2 linked regions of the Notamacropus eugenii genome follow. The protein of the gene in region 2 binds, or shares a complex with, the protein of the main gene of each other region. Links are inferred from orthologs where the notes say so. Each region holds a gene or a part of one and is shown on either strand. Other genes may lie near its edges.

Region 1 (9,827 bases), on a different chromosome or scaffold from region 2:
ATGGACCCTATGGAACAGCATATTCTACTTTAACCACACAATCTGGCTTTAACCACATCACAGGCCCCCAGACTCAGTAACCCAGATCCAATTCACATATTTAAACAGGTGTGTTCTTGTAGTCAACCACAATCACATCATCCATTTAGCCCAAGACAGGACCACAGTACCTAACTATTCATCCTGACCAGACAGGACCACAATCAGAGGGCAGCACGACCAGGATGTTTTACCACTCAACCATTGCCTAATCCCTTAATAAATCATTCCTGCCTTTTCAATATTCATAATTTCTGTTGTGTAATCAGCATCATTAGACTATAAATTTGCTGCATTTTCTTACAAAGTTGCTGGTTCCTTGTGGAACTTAGCCCACTTCATGAGAGGCATCAATCCTCAATAAATGCCTATGCTTGGATTGGAGGTGGTTTGACTGAATTCTTAATGATGGTACAGCCACAACACACCATGGAACTTACATAACATAACTTTTATATTTATAACTTTTATTCCCTTCCATTTTCTCACTAATACTTATCCTAGAGTTGATTTTCCCTATAGGGAAAATATAAAGAAATCAGCATTAACATAAGATTTTTAAAAAATTATTTTTAATGAAGGAGAAAGAGGAGGCAGATGGTATTTCATTTTGGGGCCTAGATTTAGTGAGGGGCAGAACAATGAATACAAGATGAAAGTCACAGATTTCAGGCAGACAGAAAGAAAAATAATAATCACAACTGATCGAAAGTGAGATGGGTTGCATTAAGGGATAGTAGCTTCATCATCAGGAGAATTCTTTAAGCAGGGGCTAGATTACTGCTTATCAGAGACATTATGGAAGATTTCTATTTAGGCATGGGTCAGAATAAATGCCATCTGAGATCCCTTCATACTCTAAGATTTTTGAGATTTTGTAATTATCTTGGGAAGGTAGGTTGGAACTTTGGAGCCAAGTTATGAAGGGTTTTAAATGCCAAATAGGGGAGCTTGTATTTGATATTAAAGGGAACAGGGAGGGAGTCACTGGAGTTTACCGAGCAGGAGAGTAATGAGATCAGACCTAGCGCTTTAGGAATATCACCTTGGCAAGTGTGTAGACAATGAACTGGAAAAAGGGAGGCAGGGAGAGATCAACCAGGAAGATATTGCAGTGGTCTAGGGGAGAGGTGATAAAGGTCTGAACTAGGGTAGAAGTTGTATGAACAGAGAAGGGGACAAGTGAGAGATGGTTAAACAGGTAAGACTTGACAACTGATTATAACTGGAGTAAATTAGAGTGGGTTGACTTGAAGGTTTGGGAATTTGGGTGACTGAGGAATGCTCCCAACAGAAATATGAAAGTTTGGAACACAAGTAGATGGAAGGAGAAAATATTTTGCTCACCAATTGGAGATATGCTAATACACACACAGAGATATGAAGTCATCTTCATGGAGACAAATGAACCCATAGAATCTGATAAAGTTACCTAGAGAATGGGGCCCAGGACAAAGTTTTGAAGTATACCAAAAGGTAGGGATGGGATATGTATGATGAACCAACAAAGGAGACTAAGAGCAATCAGGTAGCTGAACCAAGAGATAGCAAAGTCATGAAAATGAGTCTATCAAGTTACTATTATTAGAGTACCAAATCACTGTATAAAGAATTTCAGTAAGTATTTCCCACACACAAATGAATGCACTGTTTGTTCAGTTGTTTAGTTGTGTCCAACTCTTTATGACCCCATTTGGGATTTTTCTTGGCAGAAATATTGAACTGATTTTTCCTTCTCTAGCTCATTTTACAGATGAGGAACTGAGGCAAACAGGATCAAATCCAGGGCCAGTGCTCTATCCACTTCACCACCTAGCTGTCCTTAAATTAAGAATTTCAGTAAATATTTCCCATACACAAATGAATGCACCATACCATTTTATTTTTACATTTTTGGTCCCCTCAAGTTTCCCAGTGCATTCATTTTATACTTATAGGATCATTTTCCCAAGAAGAGTTGTACAACTTCTGAGAGATGGTCTGTTAATATTGAAAATGTCGGGTTACATTTGTCTGTTACATCTAACTGATGTGTTTCCTTTTAACAATTTGAAATGTATTCATTTCTATTGTGCGTAATAATAATTAGACATTAAGGATCATCATAGTGCTTGGGAAGGAAAATAAAATTAAGCCATCACTGGAAAAAGGTACTCTCACTGTTTCTATTATTCGGATTGACATTACAACTTTACAAACATAAAACCTAAACATTTATTTTTAGTGTTAAGTAATATAAATGAAATTTCTCACCAGTGTAGTACAATGTAAACAATTTAACTGATAATTCAGGAAAATATTGAGTTTAAGAAAGCTTTAACTATGTTGTGGAAAAGAAAACTTTAATGCTGAATTCAATTATAAATGAATGGCTAAATGAAATGATATCTAAGTACAAGTTTTAGACAACTTGAAGGCCTTTTGCTCTGTGTAGTACAGTCTTTTTACATATTCCCTTAGACTTTAGATTTTTTTTTAATGGATGAAATAAAATACATTACAAAGGAAATCAACTGTATTGAACAGTTTAAAAAACATGTATTTTTAAAATTCACAGACATTCTTAAATCTGTCTATGGATTCCTTGGGGGACTATGGAACCCAGATTAAGAATCCTTACCTTAGACAAGGGGTTGGGAACCTGCCTTAGACAATCACACTTTGGGATACAATTTTATAGCACTGCACAAATGATACATAGTTTTTGGCCTGATGAGGGGTAGAGGGTATGGTGCTTCATTGGTAGTAGCTTTTGGCCTTCTAATAAAAACAGGCTTTTCACCTGAATTCATGTGGGACCATACAGGTGTCACTCCCAATAATACTGATTCACTAAAATTCCTAGAGGTTGAGCAGTATGGAAGCAGAGTGAAAGAGGAGAGAAATGACAACCTCCTTTTTCAGTCAGGCTAGTGCCTTTATGTTGCCTCAAAAAGGTTAACTTTAATTTCCTCTGACCCATTCTTTGCTCGTTATTCTTTCTACCTGAAATGTATTCCTCTTCCCATCCAACAAAGGCAAGCTCAAGTAAAGGCCCATCTCTTCCCTCTAGCCATAAAAACTAGGGCTCCTAAACTTTTATACCACTTCGTACTACTCAATGTACTACTTTATAACATACTGTCTTGTTTGATTATTCCATGAGTTCTTATCTCCACATCTAATGCTTCTTCAAGGATGGGATTATGCATTACCTTATATCTGTATTTACAGTATCTAGCACACAACTGGAACTTCATACTTCCAAATACCTTACACCTTTTCTCTTGTATTTCTGGCACACTGATTCTGCCTAAAGTAGATCATCAATAAAAGTTTTCAGAATGAAAAAAAAAGACCTAAACTCAAAATCTCATCAACTCTGACCAACCAAGAGGCCAGTATATTCTTATCTCTGTAGGTTTTGCATTTTGTGAATAACATACATGGCATTTAAAGAATCTATGCTACGTCTATCTTCTCAGCATGCTCAAGGCCTGAAAAATAAACTTTACATTTGCCTAAATATTACGGTATAAGAAAAAATGTTTCGAAAACAAATGTTTCCAAATCTACTTTTTAAATACCAGCATCTCGATCCCTTTCCCATTAGGAGCACACTTAAAATAAAAGTTCTATTTCTGAGATTTTTTTCAGAAACATAGTTGAGAAAAGCTACAAAAATCAAGCTGGCATTGTTTTTCAAAGCAACGACACAAACTGATTTTAACTAGAATCAATCCAATTACCATTTAAAAAGAATCAAACCAATGATCAATTTAAAAGTTTCTTGGTGATAGTTTTATGTTAGTTAGGGATTTGGGAGTAGGAAGGTTTCATGTTAAACTCTTCTGGTATTTTAAGTTAGTCCAGCAAGGGAAAAGGCCTCTGGTTCTGCTGGTTTGGGGATCTGCCCGTACCAATTCTGCTTTACACCAGCTATCTTGAAAACTGAGAGAGAATTGAGAACGTCTTACCTCGGAGAAATTAACAGCCAAGGGGATGATTCCAGCCACGTAACATCCTACCAGCATGGCCAGCGACAGAAGACTAATGGAGAGGAAATCATCCATTTTCTTGTCCTTTCGTTACCCCAAAGGACATCCAACTACTGTTCCCCCCTCCCACCCGGGGTTTCAGAGGGTGCTTAGTTATTTAGACACGTTCGTGGCTCCCGAAGAGCAGGCTTGGGGAGTATCAGCTGCTCCGGTCAGGTCTTTCGGGCTCCAGCCGACAGCAGGTTTACGTTAGTCACTTCTTCCTTGTCTACCAGGGAGAACTGCTGCTTCCTGGTAACAGGACCAGCGAGGGCTTTGGGGGGCCTTATCCCCAGATGACAAGAGCACAAGATTTCTGCTGTTACCAAGGGGAGAAGTCCATGGGGGGGAATGATGCTGTGTGAGACTACTGGCAATCGTAAAGTCACGGCCCTAAAGCTGCGGGACACGGAATGGGGGGCGGGGGATACACTGCCTCAAGAGGCAGGGGAGGCGAGCGAGCCTGTCCCCTGAGTCCGCCCGTCAGTGACCTCCCCCTGTCACCCCCAGGGCCCAGAGCAGCCCACCAGCACCGGCCCACTCTCTTCCGTGTCTAGAGGGCTGAGGAACGGAGGCCGCAGTTCTCTAACGGGAACCTCGGGGGAGGATTCAGCAGAAGCGTGTACAGTGCTCAGTCTCTGGCCTATACCCAGGGGTCCCCCTAGCTGCCCGGCCTCGGCCCGGAGCCTCCCCAGCCGCCGCCATCGCAGCCATTGCCGCCAAGTGGCACCTCCTCCACACATCCACTTCCGGATCTCGGCATTGCCCTCCCCGCCCCCTCCTCCTCCTCTGAAACGTTGCTTCCGGGTCACAACCGTCCTCTCCCAGACACAACCTACTTTTGGTTCTCTTCGACCCAGCCAGCCGCCATCTTTGAGTTGGGCTTGCGGGACTGGATCTCTGTCGCTCCGTGAGCAGCTGATCCCCTGGAATGGGTGTCTGATCATAGGAGCCTAATATTCAGCGTCGTGGAGAGAACAGGATCCGCACCGAAGCCGAAAGCTCCCCGGTAGTCTTTCCCCCCTCATCAAAGATGGCCAGCCAGGCGTCAACGGCTCCTTTGAAGGTATGGGTCTCTGGTCTCCTGGGGGGGGGTGCTCTCGCGTTGCGCCGCCGACTTCCGGTGGCTCTTCTCGCGGGGATTGGCTGTTAGCGGGGTTGCGGCTCAGCTCGTGTGCAGTGGCTGTGGCGGCGGCAGCGGCGGAGCTCCGGACGATGGTGAGAGAGGCCCCGGCGGCTGTCCCCTACCCCAGATAATAACCCTAGGCTGGGAGGGCCGAACCGGAGCTTCCCCTGACCCTTGTGATTCCGCCCTTCTCCCGTCTCCGGGGACTGGGCCCGGCCCCCCGGTGTCCGCATTGTGGCTGACTGACCCCCCCACCCTTCCACCCCTCGCGGTTCACACGCCCGCGGGGACGGCTCGGAATCCCCCTTCCGCAACGTGGGCGACCTCGAGAGCCTGTAGCTGCCCGCCAGAGGCGAGCGCGCTCCGGTCCCGGGGGAGCTGGGCGAGGCCGCGGAGGGCACCCGCTCCAATCCGGCAGGCTCCGGAGGGTGCTGGGGATGAGTCTGCTGCCCACCCCACCCCCACCCCGACCCCGAGGCGACGTCGACTGCTCAGCCTGTTTTCCCTCCAAAATCTGCCGTCTTATGAGTAATGGCATGTGTTTATGGAGAGCAGCCACGGAGCTGCCCTTGGAGTTGGGGGGTGCCCCTTCCACGCGTGGGGGCCGCGGCTCTCTCGTCTACTTCTGAACTGTGTGAATGCTTGTTTTCCTTAGGGCTGTACTTTCCTTCTACTCCCCCTTCCCCCTTTCTGTATTCCCGCTCTTCATATTTTATTACCCGTGCCTTCCCCAAGTGAGGGTTGGATGTAGAACTTAAGAGTTTGCGAATCAAGTGAGCTTCTGTTTGTAAGAGTCTCTTACTCTGCATCAGTTTTAAATTGTAGAGGATCTGTGTGTATAAAGGAATCCTGTACGCATGGTGCCTGCAAATAGGCGGTTATTGAGTCCTTGCGAGGTTGGAGCGAAAAGAATAACTTGGACCGTGGATAATATGTCTTTCTGGGAAATATTTTCAGTGCTTCACACTTTTATTGATCATTTTAAATATCTCTTGTGTTAATAGAGCAAACTAATTCAAAAGGTGCCCCTGACAACAACTTGCTCCTGTCACGCACATTGGAGTCATCTGCTGTTTTTTAGTCTGATTAGAATTTAAAATGGCAATCAGAGAAATTCAATTAGCTTTCTTGTGAAAAACATTTGCTTTCGCATTTCATGACTAGATTAAGTAATCTTGATTTGTTTTTAAAGAATTTTGAGATGCCTTTTAAAGGGAAATATAGGTCTTTTAATTGTTCAACGGCATAAACTACTATGGTATTATATAAACATTTCAAGAGCACCTACTCTGACAGGCACTCTGCATGGGGTGTCAGAATGGGGTACGGCTCTGGATTCAGACTTGAGCCTAGAGGCTTGCTTGTTTAGCAGTCAGGTGGTAATGTTCAAAACTGCATTTTAAAGACATTGGAGAAATGCACAACGTTATTGTGAGGTCCTTTTACCACCGTTAGTTTCAGGAGGACGATGGAGTTGGATTTTAAGGGAGGTAGAAATTGAAGAAACATTTGGAGACAAAATGTTGTCTTAGAATTTGTCATATTAGATTATATTTGGGGAGGTTGAAAAATTGAAGTACCAATGCTAGAATGAATAAGATTACCTAGAATTGTAGATTTTTTGAGGGAGGGGAGATAATTCAGAGTGAAAATGAGTTTCCTAAATTCTACTTAGGTAGCCATATGTTTCCTCATATTTGGTATTAGCATGGTTTTTTACTGTAATTCGTGGTAAAAAGAATTGCTGCTTTGTGTTAAAAGTCCAAAAAAAATTCATGAGGAATGCTTTAGAACAAATTTGGCTAATAGAAGGAATATAAAATATAACTGGGTTGACTATAAAATGAAGAACCTCCAGAAAGCTCTGCAGACAGCGCTGGTATGAGGAAAGAGTATAGTTAAAAAATGCTTTTAGTATCTTATGATAGAAAAAGAAAAATCTTTATTATAAAAATAACAAGTCTGTATTATTTATCCCTTAAATCTATTCAGACCGGTTAAGTTCCATTATGCATTTAGAATTGGATAAACCAATAGTCTTTAAGCCTCTAAGCAAAAGTGATCAAATTTGCTAAAGTTATAAGCTTGGGAGTGATAAATACTACAAGACCTGGTGCAAAGTGCTGATCTCAAACAGTTTAGGGTTTGGATATCAAACAAGGAAGGTTTCTGTGGAGATGGGCTTTGATCCTGGTTACTGAATGAAGGGTAATATTTTGTTAGGAGGAGATGGGTAGGATAGGTAGAAAGATAATAGGAAGGGTTAGGAGCAGTGAACATATCCAGTGTTTGGGGAATGGCCTTTTTATCTAAAATATGGGGAGAAAGGAGGGTGAAAAGATAGTTTGTAGTAATATTATGGAATGTATTGAATGCCAAGAGAATTGAAATTGAAAGAATTATTTAATTCTTATTTTAAGAAGAGAGATCATAAACATCAAGCCACTAGCACTCTTTCAACCACGTGCAGCTTGATGGTCCTAATTAATTGCCGTATCTAATTGATGGGGCAAATCCACGTACACTTGTTCTTTTGATTGTTCTCTTTTGTTATTATTTGTCAATTTCATCCCCCTCCCACATTGACCTTTCCTTTATAACAAAAGGGGCAGCTGTTTAAGCAAAACAAACACATCAACCATATTTTATATAGCCCAGCACTTCTCCCGAGGTGTGGTCCAGGGACTCCCCAGGATACCTGAGACCCTTTTAGGAGAACCTAGAAGTCAAACCTATAATAATGTTACTGTTTCATTTCCTTTTTTCCCCTTATTTCCCATTTAAAATACTTTTCCCTTTTCCAATTACTTGTCTCTGTAAGGCTGGTTTTTCTTCACATAATTCAGTGCAAACAACACATCTCAAAAGTGTGAATGCAGAAGCATTCACAGAAGCAGCAAACAATCCAGTATCCTCTATTAAACCAGGCATTAAAGAGATTTGCAGAAATATATAAAATAATTACATTATCCTTAACAATTTTTTCTTTTGGAAAATATGGAATTTTTCCCACAAAAGTTTAATTAGCATGTGATAAGTTTGTTTTCTTAATGAATTAAATATTTTAAAATTCATCAGTTTTCATTTCTACTGTGGTAAATATCAATATTGAACATAAACAGGTTATTTGTTCTCAATAATTTTTAAGAATGTTAAAATTTGAGAACTGTTGTTACAGTGTGTGCAACATTCCATAGCCACATTCCCCTACCACTCTCCTCTTCTTCAGGACCAAAGATTAATAATTATAATTACATAGGGTAGAATTTAATTTTATCTTTTGTATCGTGTTTTTCCTGGTTATAATTACTTCTCTGTTCATCAATTCTTACAAGTCTTAACTAGTTTCTCTTATTATAGGCCAAATGATATGGATAATTTATCCCTTTTCACATAATTCAAAATTGTTTTCCATGATGGTTATACCATTTCATGGCTCCATCAACATTGTTAGTATGTATGTGATCCCATAGCCCCTCCAACATGAAATAGGTCTGTCGTTTGTCATCTTTGGCAATTTGCTGACTATGAGATAAAACCTCAGAATTGTTTCGATTTACCTTTTAATTATTAGTAATTTGGAGATCTTTCATATAGTTGTTAATAGCTTACAAATGCTTTTTTGAGAAATGTTTGTTCATATACTTTGACCACTTTTCTAACAGGGATTGCATTTTGGTTTTATACCTTTGTATTAGTTAATTTCAGATATAATTGATGCAAGGATGTTTTTCCTTTCTAATCAACAGTTTACTATATCCTAGTTTCATTGATTTTGTTGATGCAGAAACTTTTCTATTTCATGTGATTGAAATTGTTTCGCTTGTTAACTGTTTCTTGCTTGACATTTACTTCCATCTTCCTCCATTTTTTTAAATGATATGACCTTTTTTATGTTTATTCTTTAGGCCATAATCCATTTGGAACTTAATTATGGTATATTGTTTTAGATGTGTTCATCTAAACCTGGTTTTTTTGCCCAATTTATTCCTGTATTTTTTGTGAAATAGAGATTCCTTCTCCAAGTAGTTATGTTCTTGGGTTTATCACTCCAACCTACTTTTGTGAGAGAAGTATGATCCTAGTATCTAACCCAGAGTAGAATAAAACAAAGTAAGGTAACTATTGCCACTATCACTAATGACTATTTAAGCAAAAAGTCTAAATGGAATTCTGACAAAAAGACAGTATATATCCAGAAAATTTTTGGCTGGTAATCATGGATTTATGCCAGGGTGTAAGTATGGTTCAAAATTAGGAAAGCAATTAACCTAAAAAGTCATGTTAAAAGCAAAAGCACACAATTATAGCAAAAGATGCAGAAAAAGTTTCTGACAACAAAAATGCCAAAAACTTTTATAAGCATAGGCAGGAAAAGACCATTTTAAAATATGCATAAAAGTATTTACAGCCAAAACCTAGCATAGTTTGAAACGAAGAGACAACTAAAAGCCTTCTCACTAGGTACACAAAAGCAAAGCTGTTCTCTCTCGTTATTTGACACAATTCTCAAAATGCTATTAGACATGAAAAAGAATTTGAAGTCGTAAACAGTGGCAAAGAAGGAACAAAATTATCATGACAGATTACTCAGGAAACTTTAGACTCAATGAAGAGACTAATGGAAACAATAAAGTAGAAGGCTA
Region 2 (10,467 bases):
GGAGCAGACAGATAGAAGGAGATCCTCTGCAGGGCTAGGCCAGGGGCTGAAGAGGGGACCCTTGCCCCCATGCAGACTGGACTACGTTTCTTGGGTTCCTTCTATCTTGGAGATTCTGGGTGGAATACATTTTTTCCCCTTTCTCCTTGCCCAGTCCTGTGATTTCATGAACTTCTAGGTGTGAGAACTCCCTCCACCAATGCAGATGCAGATAGAGGACTCCTCAGTAACTTACCTTCTTAAGAGAGCTGCCTAGGGTGCAAAGAGAAAAAATGACTTACTGAAGGTCACTCAGCCATAGGGGTCACAGGCAGAACCTGAACTCAGACCCCTAGGACTCTCAGACTGGCCTTCTCCCCATTAAGCAGCCTGGCCACCCGGTTCTTCGTGGCCTCCATGAGAAGGAACAGCCTGGGGCCTTCCAGAGCCTTGAGCTCCCAGAAGGAATCCAGCCCCTTCTCTTCTGTTTTCTGGGCCAGTTCATTCTTTGTAAGTCACATGACTGAGTGTTCATGGTTTTCTAAGGATCACGAGATTCTGAGCTGGAAGTAACCACAGGAAGTATAGAGTCGAGGGGTTCCCAACCTGGGGCTTGGCTTGGTCTTGTTTTAACCACTTTGATCATTGCATGATCCTCTAATTGGTTTCCTTGCCAGTTCTAAACATTAGAATTACAGGCCTCTCGTCTCCCCACAGAACATTAGACAGAACTGTGGCTTCGAACAATGTTATCTTCTTCCTTAAGAAAGTAAAAGGAGGGGAGAGGGGGACTCAAGGTGGGGGGAGAGGACAAAGGACCAACTCGCCATCTGAGCCCCCCCACTCAGACCCTCCTCTCTCTTCCAGCTGTAAGATCCAGAACCTCAGGCCCCCTGCCCCTGGTCCCTCTAGGTGACACCATCTGAGGAGCCTCAGTACTTCTGAGTATGTCCTCTTTGGGCAGGAGAACCTACCTGAACCTCAATTCTGGGAGCCAAAACGGAGGCCTAGAGGGAGCTGCGGCCTGCTTTTCTAGCTACACGCTGGTAGGTCTGTCTAGCCCGGCAGAAGCAGCAGATGCCATCAGGAGCCCCATTTTACAGATGGGGACTCAGAATAGGGTTTAGACAAGGTCACCCCAGCCAAGACTTGAGAAAAGGTTTTCTGACCTCAGGACCATGGATGGCTCCTACTGCAGGGAGTTTTATGGTCCAGGCTTGGAAGGTTAGCTCTCCTGCTAAATCTCTTCTCTCCTCAGCTAATTTCCTTGGAAAAGTTGTCTACATTCAGCAATTCTTTCTCAAACCTTTGGAATCTGGCTTCCCAGTCTGTCACTCATCAGTGTCACCACTAATCTCTCAATGACTAAATCTAAAGGCCTTTTCTCAATCCTCTTTGTCAGCCTTCCTGCAGACTTTGACATAGTTGCCCACTCACTCACTCTTTCTAAGCCTTTCTTTTCTCTCTGAGCTTTTACTCTCCTCTGGACCTCCTATCTGTCTGCTTCTCAGTCTCCCTGCCTGAATCTTTCATGCAGGCTACTCTCCCAACTGTGGAGATGCCTTTTAGGCTGTATTTTCTTCCTATGCTCCCTTCCTTGGTGATCTCATCAGCAAACCCATGGTTTAGCTATCATCTCTATGCAGAAGATTCTAATCTATAGATCCAGCCCCAGCCTTTCTTCTGAGCCCCAGTCCCCCATCACCAACTATCTTGTGGATTTCTTGGACTAAATATCCCATAGGCATCTCAAATATAACATGTGCAAAACAGAATGCATCTTTCCTCCCCCACCCCAAACCTGCCCTTCCTCTACATTTCCATGTTACTGTTGAAGAAACCACCAATCTTTCCAACACCTGGGTTCACAACCTTGGTGGTAGTTGTGGGATTAGGAGAATGGAGCAGGAGGGAGAGATGTAGAAACAGAATTTGACAAGACTTGGCAGCAGAGCCAATGAAGGGGAGGAGAGAGCTAAGGATGAGGCCAAGATTGATAGCTTGGGAGATTGGGGAAAGATGGTGGTAATAGGGAAGGCTGAGGAAGGGCTGGGTGGGAGGGAGGCAAGGGCAAGCTAATTAATTGTTTGGGGAATGTTGCATTCTAGATACACTTGGTAAACCCAGTTCAAAATGTCCAATAGGCAGTGGGTGATTTGGGACTGATGCTCAGGAGAGAGACTGAGGCTCCCAAGAATTGATTTGGGGATTGATTACAGAGATGATAACAAAGTTCATGGGAGAGAGTATAGAGAGAAAGAGAAGAGCCCCAGTTACAGCAATGGGGATTCAGAAAGACTAGTCAACCAGGTGGGAGGAAGAGTGAGACAGAAGAGTTAGGACAACCCAGAGAGGAGAAAGTGATCACCTGAGTCAAGTGCTACACGAAGGTGAATGAGGATGAAGATGATCAGATCTGGCAATTAAGAGATGTTGATGACTTTGGAGATTGCCTAAGAGAGAACTGAAGGAAGGGGAAGCCCGGGAGCAGGGAGTGGAGCTCACCAGTCTCAGCCTGGATGTGTAGACACTGATATTATGGCAGTCTAGGAGAATGACTTGTATATTTAGGGGTAGTAGGAAGGAGGTTTGGAGGGGGATTGGTTCATGTGCATTGTGTATCATCAGCACGATTGACTAGTGCAGATTTCCCACATAGACAATCATGATGACACAAATATAATAGAAACTTGAGCATGTGTAGACATGGAATTGGATCTGGTCTGCAAACTACTCAGTAAGGCGAAACCTTTTTCAACTGGCTAGGTAGCTGGCATGAGTCGCATTCTTCAAAAGGCCTGAGAGCCTTGGCCCTGTCTGTTTAGCTGCATTGCCTTGATTCGACTCCTTTGTAGACCATTATTTGGAGAGACAAGAGTGTAAGAGAAGAGACCTTGGGGCCTCTCTCCATCTAGGCCAGGTGCCCTTGAGAAACAAATCCTAATCTTTGATCCATCCTTTTTTCAGGCAAAGGGGTTGGAGCCTCTGACCTTGTAAGTTCAAAAATGACAGAGAGCAAGGCTCTGAGCTTTCCAGCACCTGGATTTTGTAGCCAACTCAGAATAGGAATAAGAAGGGACCTTCAACCCCTGGAGAAGGACTCACTGACCAGTGGTGCCTCTTCCTGCTGTGAACTTGGTGGCACTAATGTCAGACAGGAACCAAGTTACATTTAAACACACTTCCTAAAGACTGAGGTGGTATAGGGAAAAGTATATCACTGAGGCATTGGGAATATTTTTGTCATTGCTATATATTTGAAGTAGATATCCCCTCCTAAAAGCTCATTTATCTGGAGGATAAATGGAATTGAGTCACTGGCACCTAACAGTGGAAGGAACATACCTGGTAGGGGATGGGGTGAATGGTATTAGAGAAGTAATACCTACTAACACCTCAGGGTTACCCTAGAACCCAGAGAAATGATGGAGCAGGCTGGGCTCCAGGACAAGAGGTCAGCTAACAGCTCCTATGCAGGTATATACAGAATTAAATAAAAGATCATTTCGAGGGAGAAGGCGCTAGCAGGTTGGGGGGGGGGGGGGTGTCTAAGAAGGATTTCACATAGAACCAGGTCAGATACTGAGTTATATGACCCAAAGCAGGCCACTCACCTGCAAAATGGAGATAAAAGAAAGCCCCAGTTTATGAGGCTGTTTGTGAGGCTCCCATGAAATGTCTAGAAGGTGCTTTGAGATCAGGCAGCCACAGGATGGCTGGAGGCGTTAAGAGGAGGAAGAGGAGGTTTATACAGGGAGGACAGTGAAGAACAGGAGGGAGAGAGGGGAGACTGGAGGCAGGGAGGCCACTGAGGAGGTTCTTCAATAGAGAACTGATGAAAGGTTGTTAGGAATTGATTCCATATCATTAACTAGGTGGGTCCGAGCTCCTACTTCAGCCCAAGGACCAAAACCTGGAATGTTCTAGGCCTAACTTAAAAGGATCTCAGGATCACAGAGTGAGAGTTGTCAAGGACCTTAGTGGCTGGGTCCAAACTCCTGATTCTACAGATGAGGAAACTGAGCTCCAGATAGCAGGCTCTCTGACTCCAAATCCAGCACTCTTTCCATCCCCCCATGCCCTTCCCTAAATCCTACATGGACTGTATGAGCAGTGTTGCAGATGCCTTCTGGGGTCCACAGATAGATTTTAGGGAACTCAAAAAATTGAATGAAAAAAATACACCTTTATTTTCTGTGACCTTTGGTTGCCTTTGTAAATCTATATATTTTATTTTATTCATTTGAAAATGTTATCCAGAGGAATGGCCATCCACAGGCTTCACCAGATGTCAGGGAGTTGGAGGTGTCCACCTCAAGCACATGAAGACTTCCCAGGGGAATGGGTGGATGAGAAAAATCTGTTCCAGTGGCCATATAGGCGGCCAAAGTAGGTGCCGTGGAGCACTTAGAGCTTGGTCAGACATCAAAGATCCCAAGGTCATCCACTGTATCCAGGCCATAGTCATCATCTTGGACTTGGATGACTTGGGAAGAGAGAGTGAGGCTGAAGACTGTGCAGCTCCATCTCACTTAAATCCCATTCAAACAGAAGTCACCCTGTGAGGTCACTGGTCCTCTGAATCAAAGGATGAGGGTTGTTACCACCCTGCCAGGTAGGCCTTGGAGGCAAAGCCAGGGGGCACCGGGTGGGTGGTGAGGCACCTGGCCCAAGGGATTGCCTGGGATGAAGGATGATGAGGCACTACCTTCCACTCCAACAAGTTTCTGAATCTTCTCAGATTGCTTAGAAATGGTAGCCACAATATCCCAACAGAGTCCGTCACCTACTTTCCTTTTTCTTCTGAGGGAGGCAGTACGAGGATTATTAAGCCCCCATCCACTAGGACCCTGGGCTCTAGCTAGGGATGCTTATTTGAAATATGGGAATTTTAGGAGGGAGGGAAGAAAAGGGGGATGGAAGAGAGAAGAGGGAGGAGAAAGGAGCAGGGACTGAGATGGGAGGAAGGAGAGAAGTGGAAAAGAGATCTACGGGGGTGGTGGAGTGGGGAGTGAGAAGAAGGAATTTCCCTAACTCAGAATAAACAGGTTCCAGTCAGAAACCTGTGTCTAGACTTAGTTTGCCCACCTACGAAATGGGATGAAAGCCACAGGGATGTTAGTGGAGAAAGGCCAGAGAAACTAAGGCCACAGCATCATGGAGGGAGCCAAGAGTGTCCTGAGAAACCATCCCGGGCCATGGGAACCTAGACCTGGCGTTGGGGCCATCCAGGGCGACCCCCATTTTACTGAGGACAAAACTGCTGCTGATGGGAGGCAAGGGGCTTGGCCAAGACCTGGCGCTGGGGCCATCCAGGGCGACCCCCATTTTACTGAGGACAAAACTGCTGCTGATGGGAGGCAAAGGGCTTGGCCAAGACCTGGCGCTGGGGCCATCCAGGGCGACCCCCATTTTACTGAGGACAAAACTGCTGCTGATGGCAGGCAAGGGGCTTGGCCAAGGTCACTTCAAACTCAGGGCCTTCAGATTTCTGTGGATTATTGATCCCCAGGAGCAGGGCCCCAAAGCCCTCCTGGGCCCCGTAGGCTGGGCAGTGGCTTAGAGCAGTGGCTCTGGGGCGGCTGGGATGAGCATTTAAGCACCTACTGAATACCAGGCACTGCACTAACATGAGCCTCCCTACCACCCTGCAAAGCAGGGCCATTATCCCCATTGTACAGTTAAGGAAACTGAGGCAGGGGGTGAAATGACTTGTCGAGCTGGTGTCTGGGAGACACTGCCTTGGAGACGGAGGGACCTCGGAGAGGTCTAACCCCTTTGTTTTACAGAAGGGGAAACTGAGGCCCAGAGCCGTCACGTGACTTGCCCGGGGTTCCCCAGAAAGTGTTGGCGGCAGAATTTGAACTCGGGTCCCCTTGACTCCACAGTCACTGGTCTCCTTGCCTCCCTCTCCCCGCTCAGCGGCTTCTTCACCTTCTTTCCCGTCTCCTCCCCGCCCTTTCCTTCCCCTTCCCTCCCTTCCCCCCTTTCCCCCTTCCCCCCTTCCCCCCTTCCCCCCTTCCCTTCCCTGGTTCCCTCCCTCTCTCCCATCTTTTCTGCCCATCCCCCTCCTCCTCCACGCGTCCTCCTCCCTCCCCCTCCCCCCGCCCAACGGTCCACCAGTCCCCCCCCCCTCCCTTCAGCTCCGGCCCCGCCCCCTCTGCAGCAAACCCGCGCCCGGCTCCCCCACAGTCCCATTGGCTACGCGGCCTGCCACGTCCCCGAAGGGACCAATGAGGGGCGGCGGCTCGCGACAGCGGCTTGCGATTGGCGGAGTCGGCCCTGGGGGCCCGGTGCGTCTCCCCGGAGGCTCGAGCGAGCCCCGCCTCAGCCTGGCTGGCGGTTTAAAGATGGCGGCGGCAGCGCTCGTGCCCCGCGTTCCCTGACGGACGGACTGGGGGGGGGGGGGGACGGACGGAACGACGGACGGACGGACGGGCGGACGGGCGGACGGGCGGACGGGCTGAGGAGAGGAAGGAGCGGAAGGAGCGAGGCGGCGGCGGCCGGAGCGGAGCGGCTCCTGCTCAGGTGGGCGGCGGGAGCGGCGGGAGCGGAGCTCGAGGCCGGGGCGGGGAGAGGCGGGAGCGCGAGCGCGCGGGGAGTCGGAGGGGAGCCGGGGAGGGGGAGGGGCGGCCGCGCCCCGGGGCCCACGCCCCTCCCCCACTGCGGGAGCCCGGGGCCAATGAATGGGGGCGGGGGGGCCCCCTTTGTGGGTCCCGCCACTGCCCCCTCCGCCCTGCCCCGGGGTGCCCCTCCCCCTCCGGCCTGCCTCCCGACCCTCCCCTTCCTCTCCGCTGCCCCTTCGCACCCCCGCCCCGCCCCCTCCCTCCTCCCTTTCATCCGCGTCCTTTGAGTTGATTTGTATTTCAATGGATTTCTCCAGCCGGGGCTGCGGGGGCTTCCTGCCCCAAGGGGCGGCCGGGGCGGGGGCGGGGGTCGCGGGGGTCCCGCGGGGGCCGGGAGCAGGCCGGTCTTTGTCCCGCTCTCCCGCCCTGAGTCCATGGAGAAGTTGTGGCTGGTGGGGGAGGGGCCGGGGGCCGGGCCCCCCGAACCTGCGGGCTCCCCTCCCCCTCCTCCGGCCCTGCCGGAGCGGACTCGGGCGGGGAGAAGTTCTTCTGCCCCAAACTTGGTTCCTCCACGAGAGGGGGCGGGGGGAGCCTGGGGCTGCCCGGGGCCCCCCGACCCCGTGCTCCGTGCCCGGCCCGGCCCGAGGCGGCCGCCGGAACGTCCGGGGCTGTTTGCGGTTGCACGGCCCCTTTTGAAGCCTCTCTCGCGTTCTTTCTGCCCTCCAAACGCTGAAGCCCCGTCCCGGGGGTCCGCTTGGCCCCTCGTGCCCGGGCCCTCGTCTGTGCCTTGGTAGGCCCCCCAACGAAAAGGGCGCTCCGACACTCCCCGGAGCAGCCCTGTGTCCCCTCCGTATTTTAGAGTGAGTGGTGGAGCTCAGATTCTTGGTCAGTCAGTAAACATTGATTAAGCCCCTTCTGTATGCCGGCCTCTGTGCTAAGCCCTGGAGATACAGAAGAGGCAGCAGATGGTCAACCCTAACCCCCCAGGAGCTCGCAATCTAATGGGGCAGACAGCAAAAAAACAGAGAGGTACAAACAAGCTACGTGCAGGAAACAAACAGGGAAAGGCCCGGAGTTAGATGGTTTGGGGAAGGCTTCCTGTAGAAAGTGAGAAGTTAGTTGGAACTTAATGTTCCAAGCATGAGGGACAGCCAGAGAGAAGGACCGGAGCTGAAAGTTGGAGGGTCTTGTTTGAGATAGCTGGGGGTCTGGCCTCCCTGGATTGAAGACTACAGGGTGGGGGGGAGGGTGTAAGAAAGTGGAGAAAGCAGGGGCCAGCTGGGGAAGGGCTTTGAATGCCAAAACGAGCGGTTTACATTTGCTCCGGAGGCAGCAGGGAAACGTTGGAGTTGGTTGCACTAAGTTGCGCTTAGGTGGGTGAATGGAGGACGGACTGGAGTAGGGAGAAACTTGAGGCAGGCGTTCTCCCCAGCAGCTGTGCGGTGATCCAGAAATGAGGGGGGGCAGTCAGGGGAGAGGGGTGTCCCAAAAGTGAAACTGACAGGCCTTGGCACCATATTATAGGGTGTGGAATGAAGAGCTAGAGAGGAATTCAGGATGGCTCCTAGGTTTGGAAGGATGATGTTGCCTTCCGCCGTTGGAGGTCAGCAGAATGTTGGGGCAGGAATCGTCAGCATAGAGATGATACTTAAGTCCATGGGAGTTCACAAGCCCACCTACTGAAGTAGAAGAGAAAGAGCGTTCAGGACAGAATCCTGGAGGTACCTGTGCTTAGGTGTGAGACAGACAGATGTGCGGATAGTTAGGAGAAGAACCCTGAGAGAAGAGAGTATCAGGGAGTGATCATAGAGGTCATGGAGAAAAGGCTGTTGGATTTGGCAACTAAGAGATCATTAGGAACTTTGGAGAGAGCAGCTTCAGTAGAATGATAAGATTTAGAAGCTGGGATGTAGGAGGTTAAGAAGGGAGTAAGAGGACAGAAAGTGGAGACACCTATTGTAGAGAGCCTTTTGGAGGATATTCGCCTCTTAAGGGCAGAAGAGACTAGAGCCCAGGTCTCCTGATTCGGAAGGCCAGTATTCTTTTTACATTCTACTTCAACACTGATATCTAAAATTGCAGTGCCAATGCTAATGGATACCTTTGGGTCTGTTTAATGAAGTTTACAGTATTAGTTTGTTTTGCTTCATGCACATAAGGTGAGGGATCGGGTTTTAGCACCAAATCTTGTCAGTCCAGACTGTACAAAAGAAATAAAGCCTTTTTCTTTCTGAGCTCCTTTAATGAAAACTATGTCTGTCTAAATTAGGGAAGGCCTGCTGCAGAGACCAAACAGTCTCTGGACCATCCAAAAGAATTAGGATCATTGGTTCTGACATAGGCTAAGCAGAATAAAAAGACCTTTTAGCCCACTGATAATAAAACATCATTTTAAAGTCGTCAAAACAGGTTTGATGTTTGTACCTTTTGGCATTTGTGTTAAGCTGCTGCTTGGGTTGGATTGGCCCTGCACTGGGCCCATTTGACCATTCCCATGTAGAAACCTCTCTGTATGGGGTGCTACTGGATGTATAAAAGCTAGTCTTACATCTCTAATGATGGAGAACAGCCATGGATTTGTAAAAGGTTCTGTTGTTTGTATTGCTAGGCTCAGAGAAGATGCTGTGTGGTTATTGAAGAGGCAAAGGCTGTAAGGGAGGGAGCCTTGATCTATGGGAAAGCTTTGGAAGGGTGTTTCTCATTTAGAATAACAGCTTCCAAATTACTGACATGAATGGGGTTTGTGTTCATCTGAATCTCACTTTGGTGCTAATGAGGTGTAGCTTTCACAGATTTGTCTTTGGCCCAGGTAGAGGGATTCAGGTAGTTCAGAACTCTTGCTTGATTGACATCTCACTTGGAAAAGATCTGTGTGCTGATCCAGAATTGCAGCCCCTGAAATAGTCTTTTTGAATTGCCCATGGAGAAAAAAAGCAATCATTGCCTGCCTGATAGCTAACCTGGCGATAAGCCTCCCCCACACATTCTTAGGGTGGGTTGGGAATTACTTGGTATAAGCAATAATGTTGAGGGCTTCATTTTGTGTCAGCAGGGAGCTTGCCACTGCTTCTCCTGACACTAAGCTGATTCAGAAAGGCTGCTTTTGATCAGATGAAACTAGATTGAGCTGATTTCCCACTCTGAGTTTTCTGTCAGTTGAGTGCTGTATTTCATGCCATACACATGTTTTTCATTCCTCTTGTGTTTTTAATTCTGTGGTTTTTAAAGAAAGGCTGTTAACTCTGGAAACATGCAGGAGTTACAGCTCTCAAGGAGCACACTTCCATGACTGTAAGAGATATCATGGCAGCTGTTGGTGTGGGAAAGGCAAACATTTCAAGAATCATTTACCTAACCCAGTTGAAAACAAAAAAGTGCTAAAAACTGACATTGTGGTAAAACCTGATTTTCAGAAAACAAGCAAAGGACCTTTCTAGGGACTGGGATGTATATATTTTTTGAAGCCTCTATAGTGTGACTGTAGCATAGGTTTCTTGAAGTTAGAAGAACATCAAGAAGACCAGTATAAATAGCTGCTAACCGAGGCAAAAAATGTTTGTCTTAGAAAAGACAATACAAAGACTGGAGTACTATGACTAGAAAAAAGATTAATGTTGATCAGTAACTGGAAAAAGAGTGATTTTCACTGTGATAAAACTCACTTTTTCATTCACGATTGTACCAGAAACCCTTGTCAGAAGAAATCCAGGTGAGATTGTAAGATCTTGTCATCTTTATCAGGTTGTATTATATCCACCAACTTTTTGTTCCCAGGAAACCTAGAGATCTTGTCCCCAAGGAAGAGAAGATGATCTCAAATGCATATATCAATATACTTTCTGAGAAGCAGAGTGTATCCAGGATATTCTGAAATGGAGATGGATCAGCTTCAACATGACCTTGAACTAAGCCATGCATTACA

Evidence for each region. Proteins that work in one complex are often made in the same cells at the same time.
Region 1: the proteins of DGCR8 (region 2) and ERH are in contact, whole or in part, in a crystal structure (PDB 7CNC), measured with the Homo sapiens proteins. The link is inferred for Notamacropus eugenii from reciprocal best matches to the Homo sapiens genes DGCR8 and ERH. Residues at the interface, in NP_073557.3 of Homo sapiens: Lys107, Phe108, Ser109, Pro110, Asp111, Leu112, Leu114, Leu115; in NP_004441.1 of Homo sapiens: Val8, Pro10, Thr11, Thr18, Tyr19, Ala20, Glu27, Lys34, Met35, His39, Arg42, Met43, Phe60, Leu64.

The regions. Positions count from the first base shown.
Region 1 is NC_092872.1:310,045,227-310,055,053, forward strand, and holds the start of ERH (enhancer of rudimentary homolog), read left to right. Parts: upstream 1-5,002; 5' UTR 5,003-5,088; coding exon 5,089-5,121; intron 5,122-5,141; exon of another isoform or gene 5,142-5,270; coding exon of another isoform or gene 5,271-5,273; intron 5,274-5,486; exon of another isoform or gene 5,487-5,715; intron 5,716-9,827. Other genes in the region: SLC39A9 (zinc transporter ZIP9), read right to left, coding at 4,895-5,002. UniProt on the Homo sapiens protein: May have a role in the cell cycle.
Region 2 is NC_092875.1:10,521,338-10,531,804, reverse strand, and holds the start of DGCR8 (microprocessor complex subunit DGCR8), read left to right. Parts: upstream 1-6,402; 5' UTR 6,403-6,507; intron 6,508-10,467.